Linked DNA regions of Oryzias latipes. The protein of the gene in region 2 purifies or fractionates together with the protein of the main gene of each other region. This does not show direct contact. Links are inferred from orthologs where the notes say so. Each region holds a gene or a part of one and is shown on either strand. Other genes may lie near its edges.

Evidence for each region. Proteins that work in one complex are often made in the same cells at the same time.
Region 1: the proteins of gba2 (region 2) and ilvbl purify together in Homo sapiens (co-immunoprecipitation; 3 studies listed by BioGRID and IntAct, counting the BioPlex papers as one, with this or other methods). This does not show direct contact. The link is inferred for Oryzias latipes from reciprocal best matches to the Homo sapiens genes GBA2 and HACL2.

What each region holds. Positions count from the first base shown.
Region 1 is NC_019871.2:28,730,210-28,734,237, reverse strand, and holds the start of ilvbl (acetolactate synthase-like protein), read right to left. Parts: upstream 2,807-4,028; 5' UTR 2,491-2,806; coding exon 2,374-2,490; intron 988-2,373; coding exon 786-987; intron 666-785; coding exon 538-665; intron 455-537; coding exon 204-454; intron 87-203; coding exon 1-86. Other genes in the region: beta-galactosidase-1-like protein 2, read right to left, coding at 3,370-3,480, 3,588-3,704, 3,788-3,902. UniProt on the Homo sapiens protein: Endoplasmic reticulum 2-OH acyl-CoA lyase involved in the cleavage (C1 removal) reaction in the fatty acid alpha-oxydation in a thiamine pyrophosphate (TPP)-dependent manner. Involved in the phytosphingosine degradation pathway.
Region 2 is NC_019876.2:18,564,318-18,567,465, reverse strand, and holds the end of gba2 (non-lysosomal glucosylceramidase), read right to left. Parts: intron 1,865-3,148; coding exon 1,749-1,864; intron 1,575-1,748; coding exon 1,383-1,574; intron 1,199-1,382; coding exon 974-1,198; 3' UTR 515-973; downstream 1-514. UniProt on the Homo sapiens protein: Non-lysosomal glucosylceramidase that catalyzes the hydrolysis of glucosylceramides/GlcCers (such as beta-D-glucosyl-(1<->1')-N-acylsphing-4-enine) to free glucose and ceramides (such as N-acylsphing-4-enine).

The sequences.
Region 1 (4,028 bases), on a different chromosome or scaffold from region 2:
CTTGAGGGACGTGGACAGAAAGAGGACAGACATCTCTGGCCTCCCAGGCTCCAGCAAAGAGGTTCTTCAGGTGATTTCGGAGATACCTTGCAGGTGATCAGACCAGAAAACATTAAAATAAAACAAAAAACGACAACTATACATCAGTTTGACAGACAATGATTGTTATTTCATGACAACAGAACTGCACTCTAATAACATACCATGAAATGATACTTCCCATCAGGCCTTTAGGGGGGGTTTTCGGTGCAAACTCTTTGGACACAAGGTGATAGGGGTACAGGGTGTCGATGGGGAACTCTACAAAAACGGGGCCGGGCGTTCCTGACTGGGCAATGGCCAGGGCTTTTCTGAGAGTCGGCACTATTTCCCTCACCGTCCTGATGGAGGCACAGAATTTACACAGCGGCTTGAAGAGAGACATCTGGTCGATGTCTTGCAGTGCCCCCCTTCCCTGCCGTGCAAAGGATTGATCATTTAAATGTGCGTAGCACCTACCAGAGAGTTCGCATCCCATTTCCATCTGCGTTCACCTACCTGCAGTAGTGTAGCAGCACCTCCTCCCAAGAGCAGCACAGGAGATTCAGCCATTTGGGCGTTCTTTACCGCCGTCACCGTGTTCGTCAGGCCCGGGCCGGCGGTTACAGTTGCTACCCCCACAGTACCTGGTACAGAGAGCCACACAACCACGTTGAACTCCAGAGGGAAAAAAACAAAACAAAATGTAAGAAATGTGGAAAGTTCGGCTGGGATTTGAAGCCCCGGGGTAAAACGTCAGCCTGCACCTGAGAGCCGCGCCACGGCGTCTGCGGCAAAGACCGCCGTGGCTTCGTGTCTGGTGTCCACGATACGGATGCCGACCTTCTCGCAAGCCACGAGGATCGGGGAAATGTGCCCGCCCACCAGGGTGAAGAGGAACTTGACCCCGTGAGCACGGAGGACCTCTGCCACGCTCTCACCGCCATGGCGGGGGCTCTCGGTCTCCGTCTGCAATGAGATAAAGAGAACAAGGGGGAAAAGTGTTTAAAAAATATATCAATTTTCCAACCGTTTTTAATGTCTGTACAGGTTTAAAGTTCCACTCCAATCATCTTTTCATTCTTTTTAAAGCATTCCATGCAGCCTTTGAACAATTATGCTGTTTGTTTTAGGATAAATTGTAAAACTTGGACCTAATTTCTGCAGAGCGACAGGTGTTTATAAGAAATTAACCCTTTTTTCCCCCCTTTCTTGAAAAGTTGAGCTTTTTTTTGTCTGCTCCCGATTCACAACAAACAAACAAACAAACAAACAAACAAACACGCAAATTTAAGCTCAATTTTCTTCCATGATCAGAAATATGCCACAAGAACATGTTAGAAAAGAACCGCTATTTAACCAAACGCTGTGCTTGTCAGGTAAGTGTTTCTCTTCAAATACTTCAGCTGTCTATAAACTAGGAAACTATGTGTTCAGTAGTGTTGTGTTGCAGTGTGTAGCCTCTTTTCGCCACATCTGTTGGGGGATGGATTTGTCGGAGGAGCAGCAGAGCCGATCAGGCACCCATGAAAGATTTGCCTAAATCTTTCAGCCAAAGTCCAACTGTATTTTATTGTTGTTGTTGTTATTATTGACTTATTTTGAGTTTCCCTCAAGTGTTTCAATTCAATTCAATTTTATTTGTATAGCCCAAAATCACAACAACAGTCGTCTCGATGGGCTTCGAAGTAAAACATGAACTCCTGTTTGGCAAGAGGTGACAGATCACTTGAGGTATCCGATTTGGCGTGTTTGTGCCACCAGACCAGCCTAACCACATTGGCCGACTTGCAGCAAAAGCTTGTTGGAGGATGGACTGGCGTCCCGCAGCGGCGTGCGACGGAGCCAGGGACCGGCGTGAGGAGCACTGGGTCCGGTTCTTCACGTCCTTCTGCAGGTGCTGAATGTGGTTAGATTGCCAACATGGTCTGATTCCTTAATCACAAGTCGGTGGCAGAGCAAGCTGTGATTGGAAGAGATTAGGACATTTATCCCACAAATCTGTGTTTTTTATTTATTTTTTAATAAATGCAATTTGACCCAAAAGAGGTCGTGCAAGCAGGACTTCTGCATCAAAGAAAGATGCTTTAGTTATCATTCTCTGGAGGCTTATCTCTCCAATTCCATTTCCCAACAGTGTGCACACATGCAGCTTCCATGCTTTTGTGCAATCTCCCCGACAGCTTGGCTGTGATGGCCTTTGTTCGAGAAAACCACAAGGCTGGTCAAAGTTTACCCGAGTCAGTCAGTGGAGCTCGATTTACCCTTTTACCCGGGTCAGCTGGCAGATCTGATCCGCAAAGCGATCACGCGTGGAGTAAAAACAATGCGTTTTCATTTTAGACGAACACCCACCTGGTGAAACAGCTGGTAAAATAAGCCAAGTTTGTAGGCGGCGAGCAGCAGCGCGACCACCGGGATGCAACAAGCAGAGCATCCGAGAACAGCGCCAACAGCTCCGAGCGACTCCATGTGTCGATGGGGAAGCAAAAGCCTCTCAGTGTAAAGGTGTAAACCGAGAAACTTTGAATTACCTCAAGGATAAACCTTAGTTTCTCCCCCCCGGTCGGTGCACTGAACGGTTTGCTCAGTCAGTCAGACTATGCTAACATGATACAAAACCGCTTTTGATTCCAGGTATAGCTGGATTTTTTGTCATGCAAATTCAGTATTTAGTTACGAGATTGAATTTCTATACGACATTCTCCTAAGTAAAAAGACACAGGGTAAACTATGACCCTTCGCTCCTCCCGTGGCAGCTATATGGGTGTCATTTCCTTTTTGAATGGTAAGCTAGCTGCAGGCACAAAGCCCCTTTCCAAAAAAATAATTTCAAAATAAACTTACGTTCACAGAAAAAATCGTTATACGCGTGCAGTGCAGTTAGAAACACAAAGTAATAGTATTTGTTTTTCAGAACTATAGTTAACTATGTCATTTTTCTTTCATTTAAAATGACGAATTTCACAACTATAAACAGTTTTTCAACTTTTATTTGTTTATTGTGAAAGGATGTTCAGGTTTTCCGCTGTGGTCATCCACGGTCCATATTTAGATGACAGGCGCTTCGTCCAACAGGAAGCTGAGGTGTCTAGCAACGCCTGTAACTTTATCTAACTAACTAACTAACTAACTAACTAACTAACTAACTAACTAACTAACTAACTAACTAACTAACTAACTAACTAACAAAAATTAGAATATCTCATTATTTTGAAAGAAGTTGTGATTTTGCAACATTTAAAAGTTAATTCCTAAAACAATTGGGCAAATTAGAAGAGCAAAAAAAAAGTCCACCGAATGTTACATGTGCACACAAACAGCTTAAAGCTGTGTGGTTTGAACACATTTTTACAGCAGTGTGCAGAAGGGCAGTTTATAAACATCGATAGTCTTTCCATGATCTGCATTCTCAGTAAAAACTACTTCCCCATTGGTTCTTTGCTCCTCGAAAAGAATAATCTGAAACCAAAAAAAAAAAAAAAACACACAAAAAAACAGACAATTAAAAGTCAAATTGTACAGGGAGACAATACTAAAACCAGTATAGTTTTTATAGATCGTGTAACCTGATTCTCTCCGCTCCTGAGCCAGTGTCCAGGGAGGTAAAGGAAACGTTGAGGACCAATAAACCAGTAACGGCCGAGATTCTGTCCATTAACGAATACAACACCTTTACCCCAACCCTGTGAACAAACACTGTTAAAATCCCTAAACTAGCATAAAAAGGCACAATTGACCACACAAATAATCCGACAGCTTTATTTACAGTCATTTGGATGAAGGTGTCTCTTGGTGAGCCGTCCACATTGAGCCTGGCTTGAAGAAATCCTGGGACAGCAAGTGATCTGAAGTCAGTCTTCCACTGAGCTGTGTGCGTTAATCTAAAACAGGAAACGTATCTATTTTTATTGTTGTGATTTGTTCTGAAATTGTTTTTAGGCTACATTCATTGATCAATACTGGGTGCATAATCACTAGTGATTATCCAGCTTATCCATCAACTTAAT
Region 2 (3,148 bases):
TGAAAAGTTCAACTGTTAGTCTGCATAGTCTGAATTGATTAAAGCACCTATTTAGAAACTTCAATGGAAAAAATTAACTACTACACTTTTTAAGGAAGCGCGATGCTAACTTGTTGGTGCTTAAGAGTCTACCAATGATAATTCATAACTTTATAAACATTTGTAATTTTCAAGTAACATGTGAAAAATGAAACTATTGAAGTCCAACTTAACTTTACGCCAGACATGGACGTTCTCTTATCGCTTTCTGGCCTTTTTCAATGTCAGCTCCCAGATGCATGTGCAGGTAGCTATGAATGCTCCTCACTGATTGGTTAATTAATTCTTGACTGACTATTCATTAACACTGTAACATGTAACACAAACTCTTTTAAAAAGCCAGAAGTAACACTGCATCTGAAAGTGAAACACCTCAATGTAAGAGTAATTCATCATTTAACTCAAAATAATCACAATCCTCTAACAAAAAATTACAAGAAATAGCTCAGTAGTTGGTGTCCCAGTGACTAATATGTATGAAACAATACAACAAACATGCTTTATTATCCTTTACATAATTTATTCACTTTAATCATCAGAAATATTTTATATTATTTATGTAAAGGTTTGCATGCAACAAGGTACAAAATTCTTCCAACACATTATTGATTATTTAAGCAACTTGAAAATAAAAGAAGAAATATATAATATATCAACATGTTGCAGGTATGGTAATGCAATTGGCAAAACAATACAATGGAAGCCAATACTTGGTCTTCTAGCCTTTCATTCATGCAGTGTTTTTTCTGAATGCCTGGCTTGACAGCCAACAGTGCAAATGGATGTGCAGTCTTCTCAAAAAGTGTCCTTAAAAAATGACACATACAAACACCATGGTTCTAGATAACCAGTCAAAACAAGGAGTTGCAGTGTCCAGATGAGAGGAGGTGGCTGCAAGAGAGGTTCATCTGTGCTACATCAGAATAATCCGATTTCATGTTCCAACCTCATCCGAATCTCCAGTTGTTGGGGCCTGATCCTTTTGTGTCATGTTTAGAGCAAGCTGCATGGCCCAGATACTAAGAGGCCTCATGTAAGCCAGAGAACGGTAGATGTTCTTCTCACAATAGGCTTCAGGAGTCTGGAAGGCCATACCCAGCCTCTCCCATACTGTCCGGTAGCAACCCTCAGCTGTGTGCATCCCCTCCTCTCGCATGCCCTAAATGAGAAAAACAAAAAATAGCTACAATTTAATTACAATTTTCCTTATAATCAAGTGGCTAGAACACTTCACTGAAGGCATCTGTCCAAATAACCAAGGTTGAGCTTTCAGTAGGAAGTCTATGCAGAGAGCAAATAAATAAAAGAAATCCTCTGATGAAGATTTCGTCTCTCTTACTGACCTCATGGATCATAGTCGCTGCCAGCCCGTACACAACACCGATCCAAACCTCATCAGACTGGACACTGGAGCGGTCAGGCACTCCTTCAGGGCGCATGCCATTGACTGCACCCATTTGGCCCCCAGCAAAAGCCATCACATTCAAGTCAAAGATGGATTTCAGTGTACTCTGAATCTTTTCTTTGGGAAAAGCCTGTGTGGACAAGCAAGGTCAACGTTTACTCTTAAACACATCTGAACAAGTTGTAGATAAATTCTGATGAGTTTTTAATGTCTATAGGATTCCCTCATCTTTTTACATAGACCTTAAAAGGCAATCATGTTTGTTTATAGGTGGAAAAGATTGTATCTTTTATGTTTAACTTGCCTGATAGTCTTCTTCCCCACAGGCTGATGCTTTAAGGAACCAATGACCTGCACACTGGTCTGACATGACACTGTTGGAATGATATCTCCCACTGCTGTCATAGTTGTAGTACTTGCCTAAAGATGGCATGAAAAGACAAACAAGGAAGTCAGTTCTAGTCTTTCAGCTGCAAAGCTTGACCAAAAGAAAATGGAAATACTGAAATTCTGCCTGGCTACCTGTGGTTCTGGTTATCGAAGCATTCACATTGTTTTAGTAAACTTAAAAAATGCTAGTAAATGTCTTTCCTGTAATTTTGGGGTGGAATATTTCATCGTGACAGTGAAATGCTGAGTAAAGTCTTTTCAGCACATCTCAGTGATTTTCAAAGAGGTTAAGTCATGGGCTCTGTCGTGACCAACTGAAGTGTGGAAATGATCCCTAATCTCTCCTGAACCGTTATTTTATAATTACATGCTGTGAATCCCGGCATTGTCACACTGAGAAAAAAAAAAGTATTTTTTTTTGGAGGTTGCATGATCAGTGAATGATGAATGACTGGCAATCTAGCGGCTGGGTAGCTCGGTTGGTAAGGTGGGAAGCTACCACGCAGGAAACCAGGGTCCGATTCCCGGAGGGGAATGAGCAATGGTACTGGGGGCAATTATCATATCAATGGCGAGCAGTTAACATCACCCAGTGAGGGTCCTTAGGCAAGGCCCTTAACGCTACTGCCTCCCGAGCGCGGTTTCGGCTGCAGCTCACCGCTCCCCAAGGGGATGGGTCAAATGCGGAGAAAGAATTTCCCTTCATGGGATAAAATACAGTGTATAAAAAAAAAAAAAAAAAAAAAAAAACACTCTGGAGCAGCATCAGGCAGGTTCATCAAACCACAAAGATTATGTTTGAATTTCCTCACAACTCCCTAACTACTAAGAGACTACATAGTGCCCTGGATTTTACAGCAATTCAGACACATGCTCACTACTTTTTTTTCAAACGGGAAAACACAACAACATTTTTCTGAAGTAAAAACCTATAAATATGAACATTTTACAGAGACTATTTATGAATCCAGTGTTCTGATGATGAAAACTTCAATAATTTATAAACCAATAAATGTAATTAAATTGTTTTCAAATTGTTCAAACTCAATGCATTGTGGTCTATATTCCCTAATCTAGTGAGCATCGATGCACACTGGTTTTCGCAGAGACTTCTGGGAAATTTCTGGAGCACTTGATTTTGGGATTGTAGATTTGAACTCCCTGAAAAAATGGCAAAAGCCCTATTTACCTTTTGAGATACGTTTTAGCACAATCTAAAATAACCCACATACACCTAAACTGCAACCTAATAAGCACCAATTCAAATATAAAAGCCAAATAAAGATCATTTTTTATTTAAGGTTTTGACTTAAA